4 linked regions of the Struthio camelus genome follow. The protein of the gene in region 1 purifies or fractionates together with the protein of each later gene. This does not show direct contact. Links are inferred from orthologs where the notes say so. Each region holds a gene or a part of one and is shown on either strand. Other genes may lie near its edges. The genes, in order: HDAC1, EHMT1, GSE1 and ZNF609.

Region 1 (7,752 bases):
CGGCTCTGAGCACGCCGCTGCGCCCAAGGGGCCGAGCTGCAGACGCGCCTCCTGCTCCCCGGCGCCGCGGCAGAGGGGAGGCTGCAGCTGCCGGGCTCCGCGCCGCCCCGGCCGCAGGGCTCCCTGCCTTCGCTCCCACGGGGGCCGCAGCCCCCGAAGGCCCCCTGCGGATGCCCAGCAGGAGCCAGGCTGGGGTGGCTTTGCTACCCTAGCTTGGCTCCCCTACTTGTCCCTGCTGGGAGCTTGCATCTTTGGTGAGTTAAAAGCCCAGTGCCAGCAGCAGCTTCTCCTCTTGCTGGCTAAAAGCCACATGTAAAATCTCTGCCTGCTGGCTCAAAATGCAGCTGGGGGTGAGCCCTAGCTGGCCTTCGTGGTCCCCAGTGTCTCTGGGACGGCGGGGCTTTAGCCAGTCCTTGCAGTCTCCATCATCTCTGGGATGACGGGACATAGCCGCCCTTTGCGATTCCCAGCATCTCTCGCTCGAGCGGTTTCGGGCTCGAAACCCGAATCCCCGAGCTGGGATGCTCCAGCTGGACAGGCAGGCGCCCACCCGTGATTACCGCCTGGGAGCCCCGTGCTGGCGCCCGGCCCCTCCCGGCCCTGCCCCGCCGCGGGGGTCCCTCTGCCCCCGTCACGCGCCGCCCCCTCTCTCCGCAGGCTTCTACAACGGCCACACCAAGGTGGCCGTCAAAAGCCTGAAGCAGGGCAGCATGTCGCCCAGCGCCTTCCTGGCGGAGGCCAACCTCATGAAGAACCTGCAGCACTCGCGGCTGGTGCGGCTCTACGCGGTGGTGACGAAGGAGCCCATCTACATCATCACCGAGTACATGGAGAAAGGTGGGGGGGGGGTGCAGGAGCCGCCGGCTGCTGCCCGGCACGGTGCTGTGCAAACGGGTGAGGCGGGGGCGCCGGGGGTGTCTGCGCCGTGCCGAGCCCCGTGGCCAGCGAGGAAGCGTGCCGTGGCGGTTCGCTCGGGCTCTGGCCGCCGCGTCCCCCGGGGCCGGCGGGATGGGGTGCGTCCCTGCCCGCTCCCCGCAGGGACGGGGCGGTGGGCACGCGCCGGGAGGTGGCCAGGGTTTGGGAGGTGCCGGGGCGCTTCCCTGTCCCATCCCTGTCCCCAGCGAGCGCAGAGCGGGAAGCCCCAGCCCGGCTCCCCGCTCGCGCCTGCCCGCGGTGGCTGCTGCGGCCGGGGCCGCCTTTCGCCTCCTCGCGCTGATAAAAGCCCGGCCAACGGAGCACGGCCCTCCGGCCCGCCGGGAGCGGATCCGGCGCCGGCGTTATTCCTGGCAGCGGGCAGGACCTTGCGGACGCGGCGCTCTCCCGTCCCCGCCGCTCCCCGCCTGCCTTTCCGGGCGCTGCGAGCTTCCCAGCAGTGGTGCGGCCGAGGCCAGGGCCCGAGGGCAAGGACAGGCTCCTCGCCGGGTCCAGGGCGTCCTCCGGGAGCTGGCAGTCCTCCCGGAGGAAACGCGCCGGATCTGCCGTGCGCGGCTGTGACAAAGGGTCTCGAGCCGGAGGCTGCCAGCCCGGGGCCATCCGGCCCGTCCCCAGCCCTGCATCGCAGCAAGGACCCCCGGGCTGCGGGACGGCCGCAGCTCCTCGCTCCCCGGGCACGGGGCGTTCCCAGCGCCAGGCTCCGCGGCGGCGGGGGACCACGCCGCACGGCGCGGGGACGGCGCGGCTGCTGGCACCTTCACCCCGGCGCGCAGCCCCAGCGGCTGCCGGCGAGGCTGCCGCTGAGACCTGCCGGCTTCGTTGCAGGCAGCCTGGTGGATTTCCTCAAGACCTCGGAAGGAGTCAAGCTGACCATCAACAAACTGCTGGACATGGCCGCGCAGGTGAGGGGGGGACGGCGCCGCCGGGGCTGGGCTGGGAGCTGCCCCGCTCCGGCTGCCGACCTGAACCCCTCGCGATTGCTGCGCACCGCAGATCGCCGAAGGCATGGCCTTCATCGAGGCCAAGAACTACATCCACCGCGACCTGCGGGCCGCCAACATCCTCGTCTCGGAGACCCTGTGCTGCAAAATCGCCGACTTCGGGCTGGCCCGCCTCATCGAGGACAACGAGTACACGGCTCGCGAGGGTGCGTCGGCCGCGGCAGAGCCCCCGGGCCGCGGCGGCGGCGGCACCCGCCTGCCGCCCAGCCCCGCTTTCGGCGGGATCGCAGCCCTATCTGGCGGCGAGCGCGGGAACGGGCCGGGGGCCGTCACCCCTGGCTGCGCAGGGGGGCTGTTCCCAGCTCAGCCGTAACGTTTTCTCCTCCCCTCTCTGTCTCAGGGGCTAAATTCCCCATTAAGTGGACGGCGCCGGAGGCTATTAATTACGGGACGTTCACTATTAAGTCGGACGTCTGGTCCTTCGGCATCCTGCTGACGGAGATCATCACCTACGGCCGGATCCCGTATCCAGGTCAGGATTTCCCGGCAGCTGCGGCACTCCGCAGCGGGGCTGGGGCTGGGGCGCACGCGCGCGCCCGGCGTGTACATGCACTGCCGCACGCACGCACGCTCGCTCCCGCGCCGCCCCGTCTGGCTCGCTCCCCTTCCCCTCGCCAGCCCGCGACGGTTTTGACCTCTTTCCAACGCACGTTGCCAGCCCCAAAGACATCGGGGGGTTCAGACACGGTTTTGGGGGGGGGGGGGAGGAAGCTTTCCCTGGGATTTGCAAATATAAGGTGCCGCCTGGGACGTGCTGGGGCGACCCAAATCCAGTGGCACACGCGCTGCCCTCCCAGGGATGACGAACCCGGAGGTGATACAGAACCTGGAGCGCGGCTACCGCATGCCGCAGCCGGACAACTGCCCGCAGGAGCTGTACGAACTGATGAGGCAGTGCTGGAAGGAGCGGCCCGAGGACCGGCCCACCTTCGAGTACATGAAGAGCGTGCTGGAGGACTTCTTCACGGCCACCGAGGGCCAGTACCAGCAGCAGCCGTGAGGGACCCGCGCAGCGGCCTCCGCGGGTGCTCCCCGTCCGCTGGGTCCCCACGCATCACCCCGGGCATTTGCAAACACGGGCCGGACCTCACCGCTCTCGCAGGCAACAGTAAAGACTTGATGCGTTTCTGGAGCAGCGGATTTTTTTCCCCCCAGAAGAAGAGGGACAAGCTGACACACGACTCCTCCAGGCAGGCGGCAGAGGCGAGGACCGCCGGGCTGGGCGGCTCGAGCAGAGCGCGTGCGGGACTCCGGCCGCCGCGCACCCCCGTGCCCGCGACACGGTCCCCGCACTCGCCCCGGTGCCGATGCAACCTCCACCCGGCACCGCGCGGCTCCTCCCGAGGCTGCCTGCGAGCCGAGCTGCCCCCGGCCCGGGCAGGCGCGGAAAATACGCTGTGCACTTTCACATCCACCGCCCCGGACCTCGCCTCCGCGTTTACCCCAAGGCTGAAGGCAGGTCCCCATTGCAGCTGCAGGAGCCGCCGTGCGGGCGGCTGTCCCGGAGAGCCCCGTAGCCGTCCCGGCCCCACGCCGGAGCCCTCCGGGCAGTGCTTGTGCGCAGCGGCGGCGGTCGGCAGCATACCCGCGCCGAAGGGGTTCGCACGGCTCTGCCAGGCATTTGGGGACACGGCACCCCTGCCCTCCCCGCGGCCCCTCCAAGCAGCCGGGCTCCCTGGGGCGATGCCGCAGAGGTGAAACCTCGTCTGCCGGAGCCGGGGTCCCTCCAAGCCTTTCTGCTGCATGGCTGCGCCCTGGCAGGCACCCTGCATGCACCCGGTCCCCAACTCCTCTGGATTTGGTCTAGCAGGAGGAGGGAGCAGTGGACGGAGCAGAGAGCAGGGATCCAGACCCCGGAGGGCCGGAGAGGGGCAGGGGGAGCTGCACGGAGGCGAGGGCCGGAGCCGGGAAGGTTTCCCGGTTCCTGCAGCCCCGGGGACTCCGCGTGCTTCCATCGAAGGCACTTCCAGCAGAAACTCTCCCCGTTTAGGAAAGGGCCATCCGGACGGACCAGACGCTGGCTGTAGGATCCCCTTTCTCCCCACGTTTTTAATCGCAAGACTAAAAATCCTACTGCTGTCTTATTTTGGGGAAATAAAGGCCTTTGAACCACAGCTGGCTCCTGCCCCTGGAGGCAGCTGCGGGGAGAGGGAGGCCAGCGGAGGATGGCCGGGGGGGAGGTGGGCGCAGGGGACCCTCGGGGACCGGCACCTCGCGCTGCTTGTCTCACCCCCAGCCCTGGGGTGCTGGGGGGGGACGTGAGGCCCTACTTGTGCCATCCCTATCCCCTTTGGCCTCCTCACACCCCCCTCAGCCCCCTTTGGCCCTCTCTGGCCCCTTCATGTCCTCCCAGCCCTCTTTGGCCCCCTTTGGCTCCCTCATGCCCCCCACCAGCCCCCTTTGGCCCTCTCTGGCCCCCTCACTCCCGCCCCAGGCAGGCCCTGCCTGAGGCCTGGCCCCCGACGCCCCCCCCCTCCGCCCTAGGAATGGTCCAGTCCCACCTGGCGCTCCCCCTCCTCGCGAATGGTTCCGCCCCACCCACCTGGATCCCCCTCCCCGTTAGCCTGACGACGATCTCCCCCCCACTCTCCGGTGATGGTACAGTCCTATCCCGTCCCCCCCCACTCGGCCTCGCCTCCGCCGGCAATGGTACGATCCAAGCACCCTGGCGCTCGACCTAGCCTGCTAGCTCCCCCGCGCCCGCTCTCACTCGCCGCCGGGACTTTCTATTGGTCGGCTGGAGATAGGGGGCAGGAAGCCCCTCCCCGATTGGCGGGCTGCCCAGCGGGGGCGGGGGCACGGGGAGGCGGTGGGGCGACTGGCCCCGGGGCGGGTTCGGTTGCGCGGCGGTAGGGTCTGTCGCTGTCGGGAGGCAGGAAAATGGCGCTCACGCAGGGGACCAAGCGGAAAGTCTGTTATTACTACGACGGTGAGGGGCTGCGGGGCGCCTCCGGGGGCCGCTGCGGGGCAGCGCCGCGCCGGGGGGGGGCGGCGGCGGGCGGAAGCCTGACGGGCCGTCGGGGGGGGGGGAGGGGAGGTGGCGCGGGGGAGGGGGTAATGGGGTACTGGGGACTTGGGGGGCTGAATTGGGGAGAATGGGGGACCTGGGGGCTGCAGTGGGGGATGGGCAATGGAGGCCGTGGGGGCCTGGGGGCTGCAGTGGGGGATGGGTAATGGGAGCTGTGGGGGGCCGTGGGGGGCTGGGAGTTGCAGTGGGGGATGGGTAATGGGGGCTGTGGGGGCCTGGGGGCTGCAGTGGGGGATGGGTAATGGGGGCTGTGGGGGGCCGTGGGGGGCTGGGAGTTGCAGTGGGGGATGGGTAATGGGGGCTGTGGGGGGCCGTGGGGGGCTGGGAGCTGCAGTGGGGGATGGGCAATGGGGGCTGTGGGGGGTCGTAGGGGCCTGGGGGCTGCAGTGGGGGATGGGTAATGGGGGCTGTGGGGGGCCGTGGGGGGCTGGGAGTTGCAGTGGGGGATGGGTAATGGGGGCCCTGGGGGAGGTGGGGCATAGGGGACTGCAGTGGGGGATGAGTAATGGGGCCCCTGGGGGCCGTGGGGGGCTGGGAGCTGCAGTGGGGGATGGGTAATGGGGGCTGTGGGGGGCCGTGGGGGGCTGGGAGCTGCAGTGGGGGATGGGCAATGGGGGCTGTGGGGGGTCGTAGGGGCCTGGGGGCTGCAGTGGGGGATGGGTAATGGGGCCCCTGGGGGCCGTGGGGGGCTGGGAGCTGCAGTGGGGGATGGGCAATGGGGGCTGTGGGGGGTCGTAGGGGCCTGGGGGCTGCAGTGGGGGATGGGTAATGGGGGCTGTGGGGGGCCGTGGGGGGCTGGGAGTTGCAGTGGGGGATGGGTAATGGGGGCCCTGGGGGAGGTGGGGCATAGGGGACTGCAGTGGGGGATGAGTAATGGGGCCCCTGGGGGCCGTGGGGGGCTGGGAGCTGCAGTGGGGGATGGGTAATGGGGGCCCTGGGGGAGGTGGGGCATAGGAGACTGCAGTGGGGGATGGGTAATGGTAGCCCTGGGGGCTGCAGTGGGGAATAGAGAGATGGGTAATGGAGGCATGAGGGTTGTGGAGAATGGGTAGTGGGGACATGGGGGGCTGGGAGTTGTACTAGGGGGATGGATAATGGGGGGACTTAGGGAGCTGGAGGCTGCACTGGGGCGTGGGTGGGGTGGTGGGGGACACTGAGAGACATATAAGGGATGGGGACTTCACTAGGGGATGGGGCGCAGGGGTTAAGGCATGGATCGGGGTAGGATGTATGGGGAACTGCAGTGAGGGGAGGCGCAGGGGAGAGTGGAAGGCAGGAGAAGGGTTGGGGAAGACTGAGGGTCACAGGAAGGATGTGGAAAGCGTGGCAGGGGTGTAGGGAGTGCTGGGGAGCCTGCAAGGGATGTAGGGTGCATGGCAGGGGGGTAGGGAGCAGTAGGGAGCCTCCAAGGGAGTGGGGTTCATGAGAGGGATATGGGGAAACACTGGAGGGTGGAAGGGAAGGATATGGGGCAAGGGAAAGATAGGGAGCAGCACTGGTGGAAAGTTGGAGGAGGTTGGTGGAATAACTTGGGGAGGAATGGAAAACTTGGAGGTGGGGTGGAAATAGGAAAGGCTCTGAAGGGGCCAAGATGGGGGAGAAGGGCAAGGGGCTGAGAGAGGCTCTGGGAGCTATGCCAAGATACTGAGGAAGGTTTATGGGGGGATGGGGAGCACTCAGGGAGATGCTGGGGGGGGGAGGAAAGGGTTAAGAGCCTCCGTGAGCCATGGTAAGCAGAACAGACGCTCCTGAAGCTCCATTTGGATCACTATCAAGCAAGGGACAAAAATGAAGACATTGGCAACCAGACCAATTGCATGGCTATTTCTAGGGAGTTCCTGTGTCTAGGAGTATTGTTTAATTCTGGCTCTAAACTTGGCTGGATTGTAGACTGTGTTTTTGCTTTGCTTTGTTTTCCTTTTACAAGGATAGGGAAACACTGCTTTTTGGCTATATATTTGGGGTAGCAAAGTAATAGGGTATAAGAGCTGGCCAGATCTCAGCCAAGGTAACTTGTGTAGCTTCCTCACTCTTCCCCTATAGTCTGTGAAAGAAATCACAGTTGCGTTGTCTCTGTGCATGTTCACAGCTGCCTCTCCTTTAGCAGAGGGAGTCTGTGCACGTTCACAGCTGCCTTGTCTCTGTGCACGTTCGCAACTGCCCCCCCCCTTTGGAGGGGGGAACTGGTGTTTCGGTAGTGGGTGAGCTGAGTTTTACTGTAGTCTGTGATCACTCTATGTGAAAGGTATTGTGCAAGTCTCCTCTATTTCATCATGGTTTTTAGTCTCTGAAGTCAAATAAAAACTACTTCTCCATGGTTTTTTTCTGTGGTAAGTGGATGTGCTCAGTGTTCGTTAAGGCCATAAAGTGAGCTCGCTTAAACTGCTTTATATGTCGGGCATATAGCGAGGGCATTTGCTTTTTCAGAAAAGCAAATCTGAGTGATAGATTTTTAACCTGTAATGATAGCTGCACCAGGTCTCTGACTCAGCCAGAGTCTCCAGGGGAGTGTGACGAGGAAGAGTCTGAATTAGGACTCTCGGTGCAGTGAAACAGTGAGCCTGATTTTTCTGGACCGTCCTTTTCATTCCCAGTGCTGCGTACAACTGATCTCTATGCAATACCCAGCAGATCAAAATACAGTGGGGTACTGGTGCCGCGGGCCCTAAAATGCCGACTTTAAACTTGAAGAATAGTTGCAGGAAGTATCAGAATACTGTACATGCGCAAGTGGCCAGGGCGTTGAAAGAAAACTGTATGTCCAAACTGCTCCTTGTCCTTAGAATATAA
Region 2 (7,453 bases), on another chromosome or scaffold:
CTGGCAGAAGACTACTAAAAAGCAGTCTAAAGGCTTTGCGTGACGCGCTGAAATGCTGCCGATTCCCACCCCATCGACCATTCCAGAATAAAGCAATAAAACATTTGTGTGTGGAGCAAATTGCTAGTGTGGTTAAAGCAATAAGCTTCATCCCTGTTTTCGAAGATGGGGTATGCACGTGATGTGTTTAGTGCCCTTCTCAAGTCAGGCTGTAAGTGTATGGTAGAAGCTCTTAATATATGGTAGCTGAATGAAGGGGAGAAATGGCGTTTTTAGCTTTCCAAAATAGAAAGAGCCGTGGTTACTCTAAGTTAAAGCTGAAGGAGTTTATAATTGGGAACTGTTAGGAATACAGTATGCTCTGAATTACAGCTGTCTGTCCAATATGACTCTAAATAAAGTTCTAGGATTGCCCTGTAAATGAAATACTCAACATGCATTCTTATCAAAACATGGCAACATCTTCCAGAGAGCTTACATCTCAACATCTGTCACAACAGCATCAGTTTTTTTGGTTTTGGGGTTTGTGTGTGTGTGTGTGTGTGTGTGTGTATGTGTGTATGTGTGTATTTGTGATGTACTCAACACAGTGTCCCCGGGAACATTTTATGTTTCCTATTCACTAAAAGCAGTTTTAAGCTTTGCTGAGGAAACGGGGGGAGGGAGGGAAGTGGCTTGAAAACTTTGGAGAGAAAAAAGGAGGTTTCAAAAGGTGAAGAAAGCTGTAATTCCAGAAGCGCGCGTCCATGACTGACCGCTCCTTCAGAACTGTTACCTGAGCCTGTGAGGGGCGAAGCGGACGTTTCGGCTCGCCCTCTCTCGGAGGAGGAGGCGGAGGACGCTCAGAGTATCCCAGGACTGGGTGTTCGGCTTAGGATGCGTTCAGAGTCATCTTTGAGAAGGGAAGGAGGCGTTCTGAGAGCCTGCAGCCGAGCTGAGGAGTAGCTCTTAGCGATGGCAAAGCGAACCGGCTTTCCGGCAGAAGCGCTCGTGTTTGTGCTGGAAGCCGCTTTACCTGCGACGGCCCGGCCTGGCCTGTCGTGCTGTTGTGAGCGCTTCAGAGGAGCCTTGACAGGGAGCCTCGGCTTGGCGCGACTGTACGGGCTGAAGCGAGAGCTTGACGGAAATCAGAGAAAAGTCCTGTATTTTGGAGAGCTAAATACTGTTCTTCCTATAGAAGACAGATCTCCCCTTCCCTCCCACTTTGCCTCTCTGTGAGGAGGGAGCTGTGAAAATGACATGTGTAATGGTGTAATTAAGCAAAAGCCCTTAGGAGCCCCGTGTCCTTTGTGAAGGAAGGTTGTTGTTCTGCTGTCTTCCTCTTTAAATAAAAAGTGAGATTTTTAAAAGGCTGTTCAAGCCTCGAATCATGGAACTGAGGCCAGAGAGCCCAGAGCTTAAAATTATCCTGTAGTTTTATGGGCCCCGGTAGAACACTTTTTTTTTTTTAAAAAAAAAAAAAAAAGGCGACTGCCAGACAGTCCGCAGCAGAGACGATTCGATGGTGAGATTGCTAGAGAGTTAAATAAAACCTTCATGAGGTAGAGGCCCGTTGTAATTTTACTCAACTGCGAAGGAAAGAAAATCCACCTCAGCCATTTTGGAGAAGGATTTCACTTTCCCGGAGCGGGGAATCAGTTCAGCTTGGTGCTGTGTAGGTGAAGTCCCAGAGCAGTTAGATCGTTCAACCCTCCTAATCCCTCCGCTTGCGGCTTCGCGCTGCCGGTGCACGTGCGGGAGGCAGGGGCAGAAGAGGGAGGGCTCCTTCTCGCGTCCTGCGCCCCTGCCCCCGCAGTGCCCGGCCTCCACAAAATGGCTGCAGGGCGGCGAGGAAATGGCGGCCCTGGCACAGCCTCCCTGGGCCCTGGGTGGCAGAGGGAGCCCAGCAGTGCGGGCTGCCCCGTGCTGGGCCTGGAGGAGGCCCAGTGGGGAGGTGGGAGCTGGTGAGGCCGGCCTCGGGCGCGGGGTGGTGGTGGTGGGGGGGGGCCTTGGCCACCCCAGGCACGTGGTGGGGCCGCTTCAGGACACGGCCGCTGAGTGGCGGCGCGATGCCGTGGGCAGCATGTGTAATGCTGCAGAGGCTGTCTGGAAGCTTCTGTTTCTTTTTGGATGCCATAAATTTAAGAGCTCGGCTGTTTTTCCTCAGTAATAGCACACAAGCAGCCTCCGCTCCTCCAGAGCGTCGCTGTGCGGAGCTCCTGTAGGGCGCTGATCAATCGCTTTGCTCGAGTTGATTGTGGAGGCATCCACGATATCCTGCCTTTTTTTTTTTTCTTTTTAACCAGTGTTTAGTGCTTTCCAAGATGAAAAACGTCTCTAGCAGCTTCTGCTCGCAGTGTATTTTCACCCTCACCAGTAAAAGCATTTTTCCAGGGTTGACATGCTGCATTTATGAGTGAACCCCGTGGCGTGGGTTTGGATCATCATTATATCTCGGTCTGAAAATGGGCGTGGACCACATGAGTTCAGTGACTCAGCGTTTGTTAGTATCTTTGTTTCTGTACTTTTAGTGAAAGTTTAGTAACTTCATGCTGCCCAAGGCGGGTAACACTTCAGCTGGTTTAAAGCCCTCTTTGGTTTGAGCCACAGTGATACAGTGGATGATACAACTTCTGCCAATGTAGTCAGGTTTTGTTGTTTTCATTTTGGGCTTTTTGGCTTTGTCTTAAATGAGTTACCTCTACAACTTTTGGTGATTGATGCAAAGGCCAAAAAAAATCTCGTTATCTATATTATTACTTAGATTGACATCAAGCAAAAAAACCAGTGGGTGGCAGAGAGATCCTGGCTTTATTCTGTCACCTTGGATATTCATCCTTTATGAATTTTAGTCATGTCAATTCAGCCTTGTGTGTTTTAACTGTTTAATAGTGAAACTCCTCCAAAGCGTTTAGAGGCAAACAATGTCGTTTTAGCGGAGGCAGCCCCATGGACGGTTCTTTTGCTCTTTTAACTATTGCCACTTTGCAAACGTGCATCGACGTGGTGGTGAAATAAATACTTGGTCTGTAGGAAACGTGGCTTGTTGGCGTTTCTGGTGTGTGATAATGTGACAGCGTGGCACGCTCTTGCGGTGCTTTAGTAAAGGAGAGGAGGGGATGGGTAGAGAGAAGGCTTCATACTTGTGCTGAAGCCTTGAATTTTGAGTGCCTGCTTTCGTGCAACGTGTAAGGCAAATAAAATCATTGGGCTCCTCAAAACCTCACTATGGATTTTTCTGGGTTCCCCCCCCCCCAACGGCGCAGGCTGTTCCTTTTCCCTCCCCCTCCTCCTTCTCCTCTCGGTCCATTGTGAGGCAACACACGGAGCCAGTGTTCGTTTTAACGTTTCAGCTTCAGGAGAATTGTCTTCCCCACTCCTATTTTATGGAAAATTGTTTTTTGCTTTGGTCAAGAACAGGCGGGTGGGACTACAGCCCATTTCAGATTTCCTCTTCCTTCTTCCCTCTTCTCTTCTCCTCTGTTCTCTGCTCCCCTCCCCCTTCTCCTGGGGGAGGTTCTCCAGAGAAATATTAAACACGGAGAAACCCTCGGACTTTTGCATTGTGATAAATGTCATTTGTGCATTTGAATCCGTTCCAGCTGATCTCTGCTTACAGATGTTCCTGCAAGTTGCTCAGGCAGTTTTACTGGGAGCTTTAGCAGATATGAAGGTTGCCAAGAGTTTGTGCTTAATTGTCAAATTGAACAGAGACAAACTACTTTTATTTTGAAGCTAAAATTTCTTCTTTGCTCTTGCTGGCTGGGCCAGCTGTATCATATGGTTTGACATAGGCTGAGCTGAGAGCTACTGCACCTAGTAGTGTACTATCAGTTCTTTTTTTTTTTCTTTTTAATAATTGTATTTGTGATATGCTTTTAAGGTTGGTTATACCAGGTCATGTTATACTTTAAGTCCCTGAAGTGAAAAATAGCACCCCTTCAGCTCAGCATATCGGATCTCAAATTCACTTTCAGTTGGACACTGTACACTTAACCAGTTTAACCCGTATGCTTTTATCCCACTATTCAAAGGTCGGGCGCTTTATTAAGCAAAATATAATTAGTGCAGGGGTGTCCTCAAACTTCGATGCTATTGTGCAGCATCTCTCTCTTTTTCTTTCCCCTTTTCTTTTTTTTTGTAGGCAAGGGCTACTCTTGGAGGCCACTGAAACAGAACACATTATTACATGGTTTTAAAAGGCTTTTGCAGGCTACTGATCAGTTTTAGGCCTGGCACTAGGTCAGACCGTTGACAGATTATCTTTATTAACTGTGCGTTGCACCAGGAGGACCGAGTATCCCTGCGATGCCTTAGATAATAGTTGCTCCAATGGAAGCCCTTAAGCCTGCAGGTTCTCTGTGAAATGGCTGCAGCTTGGAGTGAACAGTGAAATGGTCTCCACTGGGCATGCTCACTCTGTAGAGGGAGCTTTTATCACATGAGCAGAAACTGAATCACTGTTCATGAGGATCTGGAATATGCAACTCTTTGAGTCTTCATCAAAAGAAGACCACAGATGTCTGCAGGTACAGTAACTTGTAGTGTCCATGTTCCATATGTCATAAATAGCAGATTCCCTCAGGTTGTGGCCGCAGACAGACTGTTGTCAGGTAGGAAAGGAGAAACCTCTGAGAGGAGGAAGACAGTTCAGATAATCATGGCTGGATTTTTTTATTTATTTTTTGCCCTATGCAAGAGAGAACAGCACAGCAGAAATGTGGGTATTGCATATTGATGCAGCATGCAGGGTAGTGTGCTGGGGCGTCTTTTGAAGAAGCGATTTACAGAATAACCTGGACAGGCGCAGTTGCTTTTCAGACTTTGACTTCTGATCTTTTGTGTTGCTATTAGTGTTACTTTGTTTTGCTCAATGGACTTGTATATAGTTCTGAATCTGAAATTACCTGTCTCTGGGGAAGTTTAGGCTTATTTCCACGCATTAAGTCAGTCTTTTATTTGTCTTCTGTGTTGGGGAGGGTGTGGAGGTTTGTCTGGATTTTTTATTTTTTTACCTTTTTTTTTTTTTTTTAAAGCATGAAGTCTTTTGAATATTTGGGTCTACCAGGAGCCCTCCCTGCTTCCGTTTCTTATAAGCAAGAAGAGAAAACCCTGGGGTCTTTAAACTGTTTGAAGACTTGAACTTTCAAAGGGAAGGAGAGGGCCTGTGGACACATTTCACTTGCTTGCTAGAAACAATTTTGACAGCCTTCGGTTATGTCAAGCAAGCCTACAGTTTAGTTTTTAGGGTGGAAGGAAGAGCGAGCATGATTTCATCAGGAAGAAAGGATCTTTTTGGGGGGGGTGGTGGTTTTGATTTTTTGGCCGTTTGTTTGTTTGTTTGATGGGGGCTTTATTTATTTATTTTCTAAGTAGCCTGCAATCCAAGAGAGCAGCTGATTAAAATGAAACGTCCGTGGTTGATTTCATGGCAGAAGGCCCATGTCAGCAGTTTGTTTAAAAGGTTGCCTAAAATTCATACCCCTGGCCCTGCCATGTGTTTTTTGTTTTGTTTTTTGTTTTGTTTTTTAAGTTGTTTGTGTTATATGCACACACAGCTGTGTTGCCTGCTACAGCGACCGGTCTGACTTGGAGCATACACCCTGTTCTTGACCTCCGCTGTTGTCTCTTAAGGATTGCAGGTTCCCAGAGCTGGGGGTGATCCTGGCACCCTCTGCCAGCCTGCAAAACACTGGCCCCAAACCCTGTCGCTTGCTGGGTTTGAGGAAGGCCCTTAAAACTTCCATATGTACCTACGTATTAAATTTTTAAATGACCAGTGAAATGTGAAGATAGCCTTTAAAGGGCTAGAGAGCTTACAGGACGGTCTGTGATATCTAATCTAAATATCTGTCATGTCTGCAGGAGACTATAGATACGCTAATTATTTGTCATCTAGTAAATGCATATTAAAGGCAAATAACATCAAAAGAAGTCATAAGGAGATGAAGTAGTTTATTTTTTAAAAGTGAAGAGCAGAGGCCTTGAAATATTACTGGATGAGCTCCTATCCAGGAAAAAATGTGTGTGGGGTTTGCTGAAGGCTAAGCAAACAAGCAACCCCCTAAAATGCTGAGGCAACACTTAGGGGTGCTAACAAGTGCATGTACGTAATATGGTGACCATGATGAGGCTTGTGTGATAGCCTGCCTAAAACACTACATAGTCACTTATTGCTGCCTGAAATTCCTTCCGAGAGCGTTGGCAAAATGATGCTGAAACGCCTGACCTACTTTTTGGAGGGAAGAGGCAAGCGTAAGGTTTGAAATTCCATGTTGCTTTTCAGCAGGGGTTAATAGTCCTAAATGTGGGCTTTTGGGTCTTATTTTTTTTCCTTCGCGTACTAAACTGACTTTTATGTTACTTTAACTCCAGTGCTAAACAGCTTCAGCCAGCCAGTGAAAATAATTGTGAGTATTTACTAGCCCAGGCAGACGCTTTCGTCGCCTGTCCTTGGCAGTCGCGTGTGAAAAAAAGCAATGCTGTTGTACTTCCCTTCAAAAGCTATTCTTCCTCTTCCCAAGCAAACGATGGGCTAGCGAACGGCCCCTCAGAGCCGTGTACCTCGCTGTTGTGTCTTGTTCATGACAGAGGGAGGTTGCTGGTGTGTGGGACATGTTTTAGGACCCCTCACGGGCTTTAAAAATCGCCCGGGCCCCCTGTTAACAGAAGCGCTGGCCATTGCAGCTCATGCTGGCTTGCAGCTAGGCATGTGAGCGGTGGTTATTGCTGCTAATGAGGCCCCCAGCTTATAAAAACAAGCCGTCTGCTGGCTCCCCGGCCTAGTAACGAGGAGGCTGGGCTGTCACGGCGCCGGATCGGGCCCGCCGCGCGAGATCCCGTTTTGCATCCGGGTGTCCGGCCGAGCGGCAGCGCTGGGGCCGTGGCTGCCTTGCAGTGTTAGTACTTTTCCTCCTTCTCCCGGCGTTTGAAAGTGTATCTCGTTACGCTGGTATGCCGCAGGAGTGCCAATGCCAGTGTGACCTCTCCCGTGTGGTGCCATCTCCTAGTGAAAAAGGATCATGTGCTTTTTTTTTTGTACAATGGCAGGGAACTATTTCATTCAGGTAAACAAGGACATTTAAGGAGCTTCGCTATCATGGCCAGCTGGTGTGGATGTTTGGGGGAGGGATGATTTGATTCCTGGTGCTTTTTTTGTTGTTGTTGCTCGTCTCTCTCTCTTTTTTTTTTTTTCCCCCTTCCTTAAAATATTCTTTCTCCTTTTCCTGTTCCTGGATCTTAGAGAGGTCAAGGAATCACTGCAGAGACTTCTGACCACCTGGACTGAGGGAATTATCTTGCCTTTCGATTCAGGCTAAAGACTTGGGGCTCTGGCAGTGTGCATTAGCTGCTCTTCAGGCTTGAAGGACCATATGCTCCTGTAGTGAAATGCACTGGCAGTTATTTAGAAGCAAATCTCGAATTTATAACCCTTAACTACCATTTTCAGAGGGTTTTTTGGGGGGGCTGCCGT
Region 3 (7,798 bases), on another chromosome or scaffold:
AAACTTGCTGTGAGTAAATTTTCTTTGCTCTTTTGTACGACTTTCCACATACCCGCCTCGAAGCATGCCATGTAACCCAGCTCAGGGCTTGTCCGCACCGGGATGCGCAGCAAAGAATAACCCGTAACATAAATCAGACGCGACCGGGTGACACTGAACTGACCACTGAGTCTGGACAAGACCATCCACATAGAACTGAAGGAAATTAAACCTGTCCGCTTTAAATTCTGCTTTTTCGAACATACGGATCAACTTGAAGGAGGCAGGAGGAACTACTCTCTCCTACAGATAAGGAGCACGGAGCAATCGAGAGCCCGTGTCCCTGGGTCCCCAGCCCTGCATCCAGAGGACACATCTCATCGCTGGCTTCGGATGAGCAGAGGCTCAGGCAGGCTCGGCGGCGCCGCGGGAAGCTGCCCCGGGCTCCCCTCCCGCAGCCGCACAACGGCAGCCCGGAGCGGCTCAGGGAGCCCGCACACCAGCTTCCCAGCTGCAGGAAGGACTCGAGTTTCTCCTAAAGGAAACCGTTTCGCTCGGGCGCCTTATAAAACCAAAGATAACTTGGGAACTTTCCTCCACGGCGGAGGCGCCGCGCTCCTTTGGCCGGAGGAATTTCCCGAGGATCCCGTCTGCCGCGGGCAGGCCGGCCAGCGCTGCTGGCAGGGCACAGGGGCCTGTCAGACTTCCCCCTGCTCTGGCAACTATTATTATCCACGATTGAGAGAGGTACAAGATCAGGATTTCCCATTCTGGCCACCTCGAATCACAAACAACCCCACCTCCTTTATCCAGGGCTCTAAAAGAGCTGGCGCCAGTAATACAGATACGTGTTTTTGCAACAGGACAGATCTTGGCTCTCTTGAGCCTCTTGGAAGGATTTCTCTCCACTCCTTTTCGGTTTGATGGCTCCAGAAGTTCCTTGCTAACAGCACCCCATTTATTAACATTCGCCCCCAGGGATCCGACTCAAAAGATGAGCATCCATCTGTAGCACCGCTCTAAATTGTACTTGATGCCAAAATCATCATGTCCGGGAAACGACGGGAGGAGAGGGAAGGGGCCCGGGCCAAACGCCTTACCTTGGGGAGAAGAGCCGGGGGCGCTGCTGCCAGAAGCTCTGGGGGCGTCATGGTCTTGCCAGCCAGGACCACGGCTCCGCACTCGGCACACGCGCCGATGGTCAGCTGCTTCCCGTCATCCACCAGCAAGCTGTTGGCCACGCGGAGCGTGTAGAGGAACACAGGGAGCCTGGCAACTTGCACCGCTTTTAATCCAAGGCATCGCTTCTTCTCCTGGCGGCAGAAGAAGCAGACGAACGTCTCCACTTTGTACTGCCGGGACCAGGCGCTGCTGGGGTGGTGGGAATTCCTGCCCTCGTGCTGCAGCCACTGCCCGAGCAGGTCGTGGTAGCAGAGCACGCAGGTGGCCACGAGCCCCGTGGAGTCCGCCGGCCTGGCCCGAGGGGCGGGCGGGTAGACCGTGAGGAAGGGGAAAAAGGGCTCCTTCTCGCCAAAGCGCCCCGGCGGGTTGACGTTGAGCTGGAACTCCTTGCCGGCTCCCAGCTCGGCCCCGCAGATGTAGCAGACCGATGTAGGGCCAGGCTTGATGACGGGGTGCCCGGGCAGGCCGCTGGGGTCACCGGCGGAGAAGACCTGGTGGTACCTCCCCAGGAAGCTCTGCACCGAGGTGATGAGCTCCTCGTTGTGGCAGGCCCTGTACATGGCCCACAGGTCCTGCAAGACGCCGTAGCACTTCCGGCAGCTGCTCACCTCCCAGTGCTTGTTCAGCCCCTTGGCGCTGGGCGGGCAAGGCAGGAGGCTGAGGAAGGGGAAATGCATGGTGCTCTTGGCATTCCCGTTGGTGATCTTGGCGGCCACCAGCCTCGCCTCTTTGCCGCACTCCTCCCCGCAGAGGTAGCAGGCCTCGGGCGCCGGGGCTGGGCCTGCCCCGTCCTCCTTGAGCCCTCGCCTGCCCTTGGGGGGCATGCCTGCGGCACCGCCGTTGAGGGGCACCACGTAGAGCCGCTGGAGCACGGGCACGTTGGCCAGCTCGAAGCTTTGCCACTGCTGCATGAGGGAGGCGAAGCAGCAGGGGCACACCAGGGTGCTGCCGGCGGGGGACAGGGGCTGGGCGCCCGGCGGGGGGCTGTGCAGCCAGAGGAAGGGGAAGAAGGGCGCCTGCGACGTCTTCTCCTGCTTCTGCACGTGGACCCGGTGCTGCGAGGCGGGCGACAGGGGGCTGCCGCAGATGTAGCAGACGGTGCCCGCCGCCGGCGCGGCCCAAGCGGGCCGCTCGCCTTCCTCCTCCTCCTCCTCGCTGGTGATGTTGATCTCGCTGTCCTCGGAGGAGCAGCACGGCAGCCCCCGCTTGCCCGGTGGCGGCGGCGGCGGCGGTGGCGGGGGGGGCCGCGCCGCGCCGCCCGCCCCCTCGGGCTCCGACAGCGGCTCGGCGTCGGACAGCTCGGAGAGCTCGGAGCCCGCCGCCGGCTCTTCCTCCTCCTCCTCCTCCTCCTCGCCCTCCTCCTCCTCCTCGCCGTCCCCGGCGGCGCGGCGCGGCGCGGCGGCGGGGTCCCAGCCCGGCGCCCCCCGCCGCAGCCCGGCGCCCCCCCCCGCCGCCGCCGCCGCCTCGCACTGGTGGGGCCGCTTGAGCCAGTACATGCGCTTCTCCACGGGCGTGCGGCTCCGCTCGAAGGAGTCCCACTGCTCGCCGAGGAAGCAGCGGCAGACGGCGCAGACCAGGGCGCAACCCTCCGCCGAGACGGCGCGGGCGCCGGGCGCCGGCTCCTGGTGCTGCAGGAAGGGGAAGAAGGGCCGGTGGTCGCGGGGGGGCCGCACTTGCAGCTTGAGCTCCTTGCCGCGGCTGATGCCGCCGCCGCAGATGAAGCAGCAGAGCGGCGGCGCCGGGGGCTGCGGTGCCCCGGGGCCGCCCGCCGCCGCCGCGCCGCCCTCGCCGGCCGCCAGCGCGGCCATCAGCCGCTGCTTGCGGGAGAGCGGCGCCGCCGCCGCCGCCCCCGGCCCCGCCGCGCTCATCGCCGCCCCCGGCTCATCCCGCGGCTCCGCCGGACACGCAGGCTCGGGGGGCGGGTTTGCAACGCTGCTTCTCTCCCCCCCCCCCCCGCCTCTCCGCCCCGCCGCGCCCGCCCCCGCCCGCCTCCCGCTCCTCCGCGGAGGAAAAGGGAAAAAAAAAAAAGAGAGAGAAAGGAAAAAAAAAAAATAGAGAGAGAGAGAAAAAGTTCGCTGCGAGAAAGTTTGGGTCCGGCGGCGGGCGCGGAGCGAGCAGGCAAGCAGGCGAGCAGCCGCCGCCGCCCCGCGCTGGCCCCGCCGGCGGGCGGCCCCGGCGCCCCCGGCCCGGCTCCTCCCCGGCCCCGGCCCCCCCCCGCGCCGGGCTCGCCTGCCCGGGGGGAGGCGGCCGGCCGGGACGGAGCCGCAGTTGCGGTTAGGCGGCCGCCAGGCTCCGGCAGCCTCGGCGGGAGGGGAGCGCACAGCGTGGGGGGGGGGCGGGGGGGGGACAGACCGGCCCCACGGAGCGAGGGGGGTGGGAAGGGGAGTGCATTGTGCAAACCGGCCCCACGGCGGCGGGGGATTGTGCCAACCGACCCCACGAGGGGAATTTACCCCCGACCCCGCGAGGGGAACTTGGGGACAGACCGACCCCGCGAGGGGCATTGGCAAAGCCCCCCCGCCCCCCGAGCGGGGCTACCCACGCACGGCGGGTGACCTCCCTCACGCACATCCCCTTGCAAACCCCCTGCCCCTGAACCAGCACAAAAAGGCAACTGCAGCTGGCAGCGTCCGGGACTGCGCGGTCAGCAGGGATCCTGTGGCGCTTTGCAGAAGACACCAATAATGTCTCTGTCCTTTACAGTGCTGCGCACCAGACATTAACTCAGTGTCCTGACCGAATACCAGCCCCGGTGATTTATTTCACATTTAAAAGTCCTGCTGCTGTTCCAGTTCAATACCAGATTCTATTTCCCGCTTGGTCCTAAAATGCTGCATCGGTTTGCCACTCACTGGTAAATAGCTGATCTGTTCCCAGCCAGGGCTGGCCGCATTTCAGCGATGCATGCAATAATCCCTGTATAGCCTTACCTGCCTTGCAGCCTATGATAAGATTTAATGCTTGTAAAGCACTTTGCTGTCCTTGGACAATCGGCACCGCGGAAGTGCAAACTGTGCTGAGGTCCAGCCACAATTAAACCTGGCTTATTAACCACCCAAGCATCCAGTCAGCATACCCACAGGCTCAGCAGAGGTCTCCCAATAAAAAATAGGTATTATCAGCCATAAGGATATTTTCAAGCAGTCGTTTTAGGAGGAAGCCTGCTCCTGATGGTATTTTTGAGTTCATGGTTCGCTCCAACCCCCGCCCGGTCCTGTTCTTGTAAAGCACTGAGCATGTGCCTGTCTCACTGAAGGGTGCTGAGGACCTTCCAGGATCAAACCCAAAGTATGTAAGGGCCAAGTAGGAGGCAAAGTCAATAATTGTGATAGGACACAGGGAGAGAGGGGCTGCGAGAGGCCCCTCAGCTGGGGTGAGCGTTACGGGACCGAGCTCCGAACACGTGAGCCGTGCATCGGCACACCGGGCCGAGCGCAGAGACGCCGCGTGAGGCCGCGTCAACCGTGTCACTGCGCTGCGGCCGGACCGAGACCTCCACCAGCTCGGCCCTGCGGGGCTCAGCCAGCCCTTGATGTCACCTCCGTCCTCGGCTGCCGGTGACAGCGTAACGCGCTGCCCAGCAACTGGCCATGAGATCAAGCAGATTGCGTGACATCAGCTGGAGCGCGAGCAGGGGGCAGAAGGACTCTCCGGGGCTGGAGATCCAGTTTCCACGCAGATGGCTCCAGCAGGACAGAAAAGGGGGGGGTAGGGAGGGGGGGGAGACGCACAAAGCGGAGAACACGATACCTTGGGCGAGCTGGGACTTTTGCAGGGTTTTCCAGAAGACAGCAGGGCCTCGTTGTATTTTATTTATTTATAGGCCTGATGTTGTAGCTGCTCTATGCACGGAGGGCGTTGGGAGCGTGTTGGAGTGGACATGACTCACATGTTCTCTAAAGGTGCATATGGCAGCGCTTCAGAGCCTCTCGGCGCTGCCCCTTTCCCTGGACGCGTCGCGGCCAGGAACGCAGCTTGTTTCCTTCCAGTCCTATTTGATGCACCACAGTGGTAATCCGAGATTTTTTTTTTTCCCTCCCAGAAGAGCAGAATTAGGCAGCAGGGCGAGGGCAAGAAAGGAACCGGCCCTATCTGTACAGGCTGGGATTTCCCCGCCGCCGTCACAAGCCCCGGCTCGGCTCGGGGAACAAGGAGAGGCGAGGGATCACCCTGCCCTCCGCCGCAGCACGGCCCGGCTGTGCGTCACGGCAGGATGAGGCCGTGCTGCGTGAGGCTGGGGTCCCTGCAGGAAGAAGCCAGCCGAAGCCTGCACGGTTGCACCCCGCGAGCATCCCAGCCTGGAGCAGACCCTCGCGGAGAGGCCGGCAGATGCTCTCCCGCCTGCTCCGCAGATGGGCGAGGAAGCGGCACGGCCCGTTCACGCAGCAGCGCTGGAGCCCACCTCCCCACCCGGCCCCCAACGCCGGCCCGCCGCTGGGCTCGCCCCCCACCGCCGCCGGCCCCTGCTCCCCGCCGGCACGCAGCCTGCCTCCGGGCGGCTTCCCGGGCCGCGGCTGCGCTTGCACAGAGCGGCTCATTTATCATTCTGCGCCGCCTCGGCCCTGCGGTCGTCGTTTGCAACGGAGAGGCTGGGAGGGAGAGCGCGTTTCTCAAGTCGGCCTCGGCAAGAACTGAAAACATATGCCGTGGCGGCGAAGGCGTCCCCCGGGGGCGCGCGGCGAGCCGGGCGAGCCTAGCGCAGGATTTTCTGCCGCGGCTCCCTCTGCGCCAGACTGGTGCGTTAAAGCGAGCTGGGGGGGCTGGGGACGGCGGCGAGGTCCGCTCCACCGAGCGCCCCCGGGCTGGACGGCTGCAGGGGCGAAACCGCTGCAACGGAGGCAGGCGGCCTTGGCCGTCCCACCTGAAACCTCCTTTCCGGTTTGCAATGCAGGCACCAAACACCCGTCGCGCAACGGCGAACCCCGCCGGCGTCCCTCGGAGGGCAGGGGAGAGCCTCCACGTGACCCGATTGCATCAGGGCTGCGAGCCCAGAGCCTGTTGTGCAAGGCGCTGCACGAACGGCCTCCCGCACCCTGCCCGGCTGCGCTAGACCCAGCGCCAGCCCCAGCCCCACAGCGCTCCTCGGCATTGCATCAGTCCAGAGCCCCAGCTGGGGACCGGGACCCGGACCCGGACCCAGACCCAGACCCAGACCCGGACCCAGTCCTGGTCCCATCCACACACAGCAGTCCTCACCAGCGCTGCACTCTGGCAAATGGGCACATGCTGCAGATCCCCCATCTCCAGGCTCGGGAGGTTAATATGGAAATTACCAACTGCTTATTCTTTCCAGCTGTTGCTGTGAGTCATCAAGTGCCTTAAAGAGCATTTCAAACAACACAGTGCCTTCGAGACAGCGTGACTGTTCCCCCAGCCACCCCCTCGGGATAATCCTCCCCGGGGTCTGCTGCTCGAAAAGGGAATGTTTCTCCGAGGAGTCAGCTCCCAGCCGTGCATTAGCTGGGCAGGCAGAGCAGGCGCCCCTAGGTGCGCGCGGGCTCCCGCCGCCCTGCGTCCCCGCGGCTCCCCGGAGCGATGCTGCCGGAGGGAGAGCTCCACCGGGAACAGCCCTGCGCGCGGCCGGCTCCCCCCCAGTGCCCTGCTCTGCCGCCCGTCGCTGGCGTCTGGCCTTTTCCTGCAAATCCCACCCGGAAATCTGTCCCCAGCAGCTGGGGGTCGGACCGTGCGAGGGGCACCGGGGACAGAGCCCGTTTCTCAGCTCACGCCTGCTCGAGCGGCGCTGGCTGGGGGGCTGCGAGCCTGCATGCTCGCCGCGCACCCCCCCCCCCAGCATTTTGCTGCTCCGCTATGTGAAATGATTTGCTGCCAAACCCGCTCGCGGGCCGGGGAAGCTCTGCCAGGGGGGTCGCGTGGCCGGGCCCCAAACCCCAAGTCGGCGCGGCACAGGAAGCAATTGCACGGCCGCGGCGGGTTATCCTCTCGCCCCCCGAAAGCGAGGCACGGGCCGGCGGCCCGAGCGCCGCCCCGTCCCCTGCCCGGCACGAGGCTGGCAGCGCCGGGACCGCGGGGACTGGCCTGCAGTTCGGCGACCTTGAACTCAGTGCGAAACAGCTGTATTTTTCTCTGCAAGCTGTGCTTTTTTTTTTTTTTTTTTTTTAAAGGCTGATCTATGCACTCGTTTTGTGCTTGTTTTTCAGATGGGAAAGATAGGGCTGGTTCATGGCAACGTTCAGAACGTATCCTTTGGCTGACAATTTTTGGAGGGTCTCAAATGAGTTTTTTAATTAAAGTTTTTTTCAACCATTCTCCTGGAAAAGCCCAGACAGCTTTTCTCCTCTTTGTCAGCGTTTTCTCATCCCCCCCCCAAAAAAAAAAAACACACACACAGAGAGGGGTGCACGATGGAGTTCCCCCTGCCAAAAACAGAAGAAATTTAGAGAACAAAAAAACAGAGGGAAAGCTTTCACTGGAAAACAAGAGCATTTCACGCGCGCACCAGCCCACGCAAAGGGAGCTGAGTCTGGGAGGGGGCCGGGCAGCCAGGCAGAGCGATGGCAACGGCTGGCGGTGGCCCCAGCCGGAGCAGGGCACCTGCCACCGCGTCCCCGTCGCGCTTGGCCCCCGGGCGCCGGGATGGGCTGGTGGTGGGGACAGCCCTCGGGTCCGTCCCCGTGCC
Region 4 (7,578 bases), on another chromosome or scaffold:
ATCCTTCCTCAAGGGCTGTCCCGGCTGTAGATGTGGCTGTCCCTGTCTCGACGTCTCCCCACCGCTGGGCAGGGGAGGCAGTGTGCTCGCTGCTTGCTGTTTTGTACCAAAATCCACGTGGGCTCGTGTTGGCTTCCTCTGGGGCTGCTTAAGCAGCCGTTTGAGTGCTGTCCTGGGATTTTCCCTCCCATAGCTTCCAGCTCTCGGGGGAATGGGAGAACTGAGGCACGAATCATGCAGGGCTGGGAGCTCCAGCGCTGGGGCGCCAGCAGCCGTGGGCGCGCTTGAGCCTGAGCGCAGCTCACAGGTATGTCTGAAGGCGCGTCGGTCAGCCAGTTTTTAATCCATTTAATGCACGTCATGTTGATTTGACGTATTCTAGTTTCTTAATCAAACTGTTAATGTTGTACCCGGTCAAAAGCGTGCTGAGCTCTGAGTGTGCGGAATCGGCGGTTTATCATCCAAACCTGTTGCCTTGTCAAAACACGCTGCCGGAGGGATTTGTTAAAATCATTTCCGAAGGAGCTGTATTGCCCAGCACAAGTTGTATTTTTCTTCTTTAATCCTACATTAATGACATCGTTTACAGTTTTGCCCAGGAACGAACAGACTGACGCACCTACACTTCCCTGGTTTGTTCTGCTTCCTCCTCTAAGTCCTGGCAGCCACAGTAAAGCTGGCTTTCCCACCCTTGGGAACATCATGGCCGGTCTAGGGCATATTGAAAATCAGCATCAAATGTCCTGGAAGCCTTTTAGCCAGGCCTTTAAAAAGGTCGGGGACCTGCCACCTGGCTCTCCATCCCTCCATCAGCCTCGCGGTCCTCCTTGCTTTTTACATTGCCCATCACCTTTCTACAGCTCCGCACGGCAAGGGAGATCCCTCTTGCTCTCCGCGTCTCCCTCCTCTGGCATTCGTCCTGCGGCCGCAGGAGGTAATTATCCGTCTGCTCCTTCGAAGTCTCCCTCTGAGCCACATCGGCCCTGGGGGATGGAGGCCTGCAGGTCCTTGCCCGCTCCTCCTGACCGTTCCTGTCCTCCTGATTGAAAGCTTTCTCCCAAGTGATTTTGCACGTAATTTGCTTCTAGCTTGGTGAAACTGGCCCTTCTGCGGCAGCTGTACCGCTGGCGGGAGATATACTGCAGCCGTGCCTCACCCCGCTGGCCCGTAACGAATGTAGCCGAGCCGCTCGGACATCCTTGCGTTAGGCTGTCCTGCTGGTGCATAAAACTCCCTCCTGCCGCTATGGCACTTTCTGAGTTTGGGATTGCCATAGGTAATGTTGGCAGCTGGTGGGATACCCTGCTCCGGCACGGGCCGTGGGGCCTCGGGGGCAGCGTTCCCCGCCAGGCTGTCCGTCCTGCCCCAGGACAGCCGGTCCCCCGGGGTAGCTCTTTCCCAGGTTTCTGCGATACACAAACATTGAATCTGTGCCGGCGCAGGAACGATTCCTCGTTTTCAGCGTGCTACGGGTGCGTCAGCCATTAACGAATTCCTTCTCTTTATCTCCTTTGGCGTCGTGATCAACTCTAGCGCTGACATCTTGGCCACGTGTTAAATGAATGTTTATGAATTCGTTCTTCTCACCCCTCCTTTTCCTACTGCTTTAAAATCCCTCTGGTCCCTTCTCACCTGCACCTGCCCCCCAAGGCAAAGAAATGGAGCAACGGCCCCCAAAACTGCACCTTTTTACCGCATCCCACTTACATAGCCAGCGCGTTGAGTCTCGCATCTTCCTTGCTTGGTTGCCAAAAAGCCTCTCAAGAAACCCGAGCTCACCTCGTTCAGTAACCTTCTGCAGCCAGCTGTGAGTGTGCACGGGGCACCATCAGGAGTGTTCACCTGCGCTACTGCTGGCTGATTTATGAGATCCTGCTTGCGAAACCTGTTTACGGTACCACGGCGGAGAGATGGCACCGTCCTGGGCTCTAACCCCTTCTTCCTCTGCTCAGGCCAGGAGCATGGACAGGGCACGTGGCTTCATGGGGATCTTCTTTATGGTGTATCTGAATGTCTCACAGGTCAGGCTGTGCAGGCCAGGCCCTTGCACCTCTCCTTTGACCACTTGAATATTAAGCCTCAGTGTTTTGTGGCTTCCAAGCTGAGAACATGACAATGATGGAAAACTCTCCCTGTAGAAAGGGGAGGAAAAAAAAGAAAAGAAAGCAGACGTTGCATGAATGAGCATCCAAAGCACACCGCAGTCGTGCCAGCGCGTTGTCCTTAGTTCTGCCCTCCTGTCCACGTGTGGCCGGTTGCAGCTGGGGATTACGGTGGTGTCCCTAAGCGCTACCTCCACGCTGGTGATGTACAACCACACTATGGCATCTAGCTGACCGGAGAGCACTCCTAGCCATGGAGCAGTGCTCCTCAGGCCACCTAACATCGCTGGCTACATCTCCTATCTAAGCTAACACACATGCTAACTAACCCCTCGAGAGATACCCCTGGACTGAAACCACCTGAGGGGCAGGTCCTGGGCCAGGAATGTCCCTGTGTCTGCCTGATGGTTGCAGTCCTGTGATTGCAGTGCAAAGACAAAGTCCTTGGCCATGCCATGCTCTGGGCCTGTTTGCACGCGCGGCCTGGTCCCTCCGCGGCCGCGGGGGCTCCCAAGTCCCGGCCTTCCGTTCCTTGCAGGTTTGGGTGATGCTTTCCGAGCGCAGAGACCCAACCTTGCTCTGGGGTGAGGATTTACAGGGCTGATCTCCAACGAGATTGTTCTGCCCAATTATACCATAAATAAAACTTCTTAATCCCAACAGGAGAGCTAACCCACAGCAGCGCGTTATCTTCAGAGCAACTTTATACCCAGGCGAGATTTATTGTGTTTCAAGAGCATCAGACTTGCATAAATTAGGCACTGCGCGGCTTACCCTGTCTGAAGGTTTCTGTGCCTCCTGCCCTGCTGTTTGGGTGATTTCTGCAGTGACTCTCAGCGGGGAAATGCTGCTGCACTCGAAGCGGAGTCTCTTTATGGCTGTACGGTTCTATTGTTGTATTCTTTTGGGCAAGCAACATGGCATTTCGGGCTGAGACCCTCTCCTTGCAAAACGCCACCGGCCAAACACTCCAGTACACATCTCAAAACACTCAAAACGCGCATCCTGGGGAGCACGTGGGCCTCGGGCAGATCCTAACGGGGCTGTGCCACCGGGGCGATGGCCAGAGAGGAGGAGCGCGGATGCGAAGGAAGAGAGGCGGATTTGTGGTGGTCCACGCCAGGACCATGCGGCAGGGCTGGGACAGCCCCGCTAGCATGAGCCCAACTCTCCTCCAGGACGGCACGGCTGCTTAGCCTGAGCCTGGACCCAACAGCCCGAGCTGGCGCGGGATGTTCCAGGGGGACTGCTGGCCGCCTGGCGCCGGGCTCTGGGGATGGGAATGGAGGGTGGAGAGGACATGCCACCCCCTGAGGAGGAAGAGGGGACAACCAAAGGGCCAGGGCTTGGGAGCGTTTTCAGGAAGGAGTCACCCAGGAGCCCCGCTCCCTCGGGGCGGCCCCGGCCGGCTCCCTAGGGCAACCGATCCACTTTCCGGGCTTTGCCCCCCACCCCGGGCAGGTCCTGGCGGCGCGGCGCCGTTGCCGGTCCCCCGGCCGCTCCGGCTCCGGCTCCGGCGCCGCTCTCCGCGTTTTGCCGCCGCCGTCGCGCCCCGGGCTTTGGCGCGCGCCCCCTTTGTGCGGCCGCGCCGCGCCCCCCCCGCACCGCACCGGGGCCGCCGCCGCCGCCGGATCCGGCCCGGCCCGTCTCGGCCCAGCCCGCCGCGCCTTTGTCTGCCGGCCCCTCCCGTCCCCTCCCCTCAGGTCATTTCCTCCCCGGCCAGGACCCCTCCACGTGCATATTCATGGCGGGGCGGGCTGGGGCGGGGCGCCGGGGCCCCGCGGGCAGCACGTGGCGCGGCGCCCGGTACCCCCGGCCCGGCGGCGCGCCCCGACCCGCGCCCGGCAGCCGCCGTGCCGCACCGGGCTCCGAGCCCCCGCCATGCGCGCCGCGCCGGCCCCGGCCCCCGGCCTGCCGCCGCCCCGCGCCGCGCCGGGTTTTCCGCCCTGCTGGCGGAGGGCGGCGCGCTCCGGGTTTTGGGCGCGCTCCGCGCTCCGGGTTTTCCGGCGCGCCCAGCGGCGGCTCCGGCTCCGGCTCGGGCTCCGCGCTCCGGGTGCGCCGCGTCCCCGCGGAGGCGAGGCGAGGCGAGGCGAGCCCGGAGCGCGGCGGCCGCGTCCCCCGCGAGGCGCACCCCGGCGCGGCCTGCGCGGAGCGCGGCCCAGCGGCGCGGCGCGGCGGCATGGCGGCCCCGGCGCCCGGCCCCTAGCTGGCGGCGGAGGCGGCGCTGCGAGCCGCGCGGCTCCATGGAGGAGACTTAGGGCAGCCCGGGACGGGAGCGGAGCCGGGTGAGTCTGAGCCCGGGCCGGCCCCGCCGCCGCCGCCGCCCCCCGGGCACCCGCCGCCTCTCGGGGGAGCCGCCCCGGCGGCGGGGGCCGGCGCCTTGCCCGCCCTCCTGCGGGCGGGGGCGCCGCTCGGCCGCGGCCGCGGGGGCGGGGGGCCCCCGCCTGCCGGGACAGCCCTGCGGGGCGGCCGGGGCCGGCGTGCCCCGCGCCCTTCTGCGGCCGTTGGGGCCGGGGCGCCCCCTCGTGCACCCCGCTGTGCGACCGCAGGGCTTGGGGGCCCCTCCGAGCCCCCCCCCGGGGTTAGGGGCAGCCTCTCTGCGACTGCTGGGAGCCGGGGGCCCTCCAGGGAGCCCCCCCTGGGCTTAAGGGCACCCCCTGTGCCACTGCTGGGGTCATCAGGGGACATCTCTGGCGTTTGGGGGCCCCCCCGTGTGATTGTTGGGTGCTGGGGGCCTCTGTGAGCCGCCCCTGGGGTTGAGGGACACCCCTCTGTGTGTCTCTTGGGGGTTGGGGTCCCCCGTGGGACACCCTTGGGGCTTAGGGAGACCCCCTGCCCGACTGTTGACAGTTGGGGGCCCCCACGGGACAGCCCTGGGGCTTAGGGACGCCCCCTGTGCGGCTGCTGGGAGTTGGGGGCCCCCGTGGGACGCCCCCTGTGCGGCTGCTGGGAGTTGGGGGCCCCCGTGGGACGCCCCTGGGGTTTGGATTCTCCGCTGTGACTGTTGGTGTTTGGGGGGGTCTTCTCACTTCCACTGTGGCTGTGGAGCCTGGGGACCCTCTGTGGCAGTTGGGCCTGGGGATCCCCCATGTTCTCCCCTGGAGGCTGTGTAAAAGGGGGATCCCCGAGCGGCCGCAGCACGCGTGGCCGGGGGTGTGCGTGTGTGGGGGGCTCCTGCCACGTCTCTGTGTGGATGGAGGTTGTCGCCTGGCGCGTGGGAGGTCACGGTCCCCTCCCGGTGGGGGCGCGTGGGCTTTCGCAGCCCCCTGGCGTGGCTCCCCTGTGTTGGCGGGGGGTAGGGATCCCCCGCGTTTGAGGGCTCAGAGCCTGGCCCCCCGCGTGAGCAGACCTTGGGGCTGCCCCCCGTGCCGGCGGTGGCCAGGCAGGGTTCGGGAAGGAGGCGTTGAGGGTCAGCGTGAGGGACGGGGCGTCCAGCCAGAGCGTGCGGGGTGCCGCACGTGCCGAGATGGGGAAGGTATAGGGCCAAAACGCCTGAGCTAGCGCCCTTATGTCCTGTCCTGGGGAGGTGGCACGTTGCTGAGGTTTGGGGATGTGGTTACCCGAGCCTGGGAGTGTGCCGCTTGGTCAGGAGCTCCCGCGCTTGGCGAGCGAGTCCTTGCTCCAGCCCTGACTCTCAGGTCCTCCTGGATGCACTTCTGCGCCTCAGGCACGGGTCTGTTTGCCTTGCGCAGGCAGGCTGTAAAGGACTTGGGGAGCCGGAGGAGCGCCTGGTGGGCGGCAGTGCTACCGCGCCATGCCTTTCCTCTGTTTGCAGTGCAGGTCTGAGCACAGCTTTCTGAAGAGACTGATTTCCTTCTCCCCCTTTGGGCCTGCCGAGGAGGAAGAACATCTGACCTGGGCGTACATGTGACACAGGCGGCAGCCCAGAGCAGTTTCGGGTTCCCAGCGCTGGGCGTGCGGGGGGGGGTGGTGGTGGGAGGACGCAGCCCCTTTAGGGGATTTTCTCAGCACAAATCACAGAGGATTAAACTCTCGTAAGAACATCTACCCAAACACAAGTTGTCTCTGTTGAGGGGGGGAAAAAAAATCCTGTCTGTGAGTGCAGTTCCTTGTGGATGCTGGAGGCGCTGGTGCGCGGAGGTCAGAGTCCTAGGCGAGCACTTGAGCTCTCCTTAACTGCCCTTAATTAGGGGCACTTTGGAGTGGGCCTGTTGGGCCTCTGTTGTGACGGCGAGACTGTTGATGAAGCAGAAATAGCTATCCTTGGAGCCTGCTTGGGAGGATGTGTTAGGCTGCCAGGACGGCTCGTGGATGCGAAAGGGGCAGGGGAATGCCGCGGGAGCGCCGCCGAGCAGCCGGAAGGTGTGTTTGACTGCAGTTGTATCCCCCTTGCGCACAGGAGTGGGGCAGGGCCCCGGGGTAGCCTGGCCCCCGGCCAGGGGAAGTGTTGAGATTGGACTGTAACTCGTGCAAGGCTTATCTCGGCAGCTCCCTGCTCCCGAGTGTGGCTTCTTCTCAGTCCTCGGCTGCAACAGGAAAGGCGAGCCTCTCCGGATGACACTAGTTTGGGCTGAAGTAAGTAACAAAGTGGCTGTGCTGGTAACGCGTCCAATAAATGCTCTGGTTTTATCTGAGTGAAACGGAGGGGTGAGAACTGCTGCTCCGGAGATAAAGCGGCTCTCTCTCCAGCCCATTGTGTACACAGGGAAGGTCACAGGTTCAAGTCTTGTCTGTGCGACTTGGCTCTCTTCCATCTCCCAGCAGGCCCTTTTTTTTTTCTTCCCCCTATTCTGGGTGGACCCTTTCCATTGGATGAGGTGTTATACAGATAGATTTTTTTTCTTTTTTTCTCTTTTCTTTTTTTTCTTTTTTTTTCTTTTTTTGGTGACGCACAATGAAGAGCTCATGGGCCCGTTTTTCCCTCCAGAAGAATAAGGATGCTGATGTCGGGGCTGACTTTCATACTCCAGCACAGCCTGTCTTCGTTCATCATGCCTTGCGAGAAGGGTGGAAGCGATGCTTGTGCTCGCAGCCTCTCTCGTCTGGACATCCTCAGGAAAACCTATTTCCCTGCTTTGTGTGATGACTCTGGCATAGGATTATGCTGCACATTTCTAGCTCTTTGTTGGCAGTACGTAGCCACGCACAGCACTCAAAAAAAATCCAGTCAGCTTTTTTATTGATTAGCTTTTTGAACAGAATAATTTATAATTTATTATTTTGAAGCCATTTTGGTCCTGAAACAAAAATCTTTGTCCTTTTATACCCTCTGTAATCCACCAACAGTGTCTCTGCTCCCTACATATCTGTGGGGTAGAGCTTGCTGAAGAAGACATGTACAAAACTGGGAGTTTGGCTGTCTCTGTGGTGCAAAAGGACAAGTATGTAATGTTTTATCTAAACTGGCCTTGCCGTTCAGGACAAGGGCTCTGAGCCAGTTAGAGCCACCAGAGGACATTAATCATCAAGCAAGTTGTAATGATCTGTAATTGAGTATGGCCAGGACACTGGGATT

What was found.
Region 2: the proteins of HDAC1 (region 1) and EHMT1 purify together in Homo sapiens (affinity purification with mass spectrometry; 4 studies listed by BioGRID and IntAct, counting the BioPlex papers as one, with this or other methods). This does not show direct contact. The link is inferred for Struthio camelus from reciprocal best matches to the Homo sapiens genes HDAC1 and EHMT1.
Region 3: the proteins of HDAC1 (region 1) and GSE1 purify together in Homo sapiens (co-immunoprecipitation; 7 studies listed by BioGRID and IntAct, counting the BioPlex papers as one, with this or other methods). This does not show direct contact. The link is inferred for Struthio camelus from reciprocal best matches to the Homo sapiens genes HDAC1 and GSE1.
Region 4: the proteins of HDAC1 (region 1) and ZNF609 purify together in Homo sapiens (co-immunoprecipitation; 4 studies listed by BioGRID and IntAct, with this or other methods). This does not show direct contact. The link is inferred for Struthio camelus from reciprocal best matches to the Homo sapiens genes HDAC1 and ZNF609.

What each region holds. Positions count from the first base shown.
Region 1 is NC_090964.1:8,597,495-8,605,246, forward strand, and holds the start of HDAC1 (histone deacetylase 1), read left to right. Parts: upstream 1-4,709; 5' UTR 4,710-4,814; coding exon 4,815-4,863; intron 4,864-7,752. Other genes in the region: tyrosine-protein kinase Lck, read left to right, coding at 658-837, 1,759-1,835, 1,927-2,080, 2,275-2,406, 2,732-2,934. UniProt on the Homo sapiens protein: Histone deacetylase that catalyzes the deacetylation of lysine residues on the N-terminal part of the core histones (H2A, H2B, H3 and H4).
Region 2 is NC_090961.1:11,457,234-11,464,686, reverse strand, and holds the start of EHMT1 (histone-lysine N-methyltransferase EHMT1), read left to right. Parts: upstream 1-4,286; 5' UTR 4,287-4,445; coding exon 4,446-4,508; intron 4,509-7,453. UniProt on the Homo sapiens protein: Histone methyltransferase that specifically mono- and dimethylates 'Lys-9' of histone H3 (H3K9me1 and H3K9me2, respectively) in euchromatin.
Region 3 is NC_090951.1:3,438,745-3,446,542, reverse strand, and holds the start of GSE1 (genetic suppressor element 1), read right to left. Parts: upstream 3,030-7,798; coding exon 1,080-3,029; intron 1-1,079.
Region 4 is NC_090953.1:25,567,897-25,575,474, forward strand, and holds the start of ZNF609 (zinc finger protein 609), read left to right. Parts: upstream 1-4,264; 5' UTR 4,265-4,387; intron 4,388-7,578. UniProt on the Homo sapiens protein: Transcription factor, which activates RAG1, and possibly RAG2, transcription. Through the regulation of RAG1/2 expression, may regulate thymocyte maturation.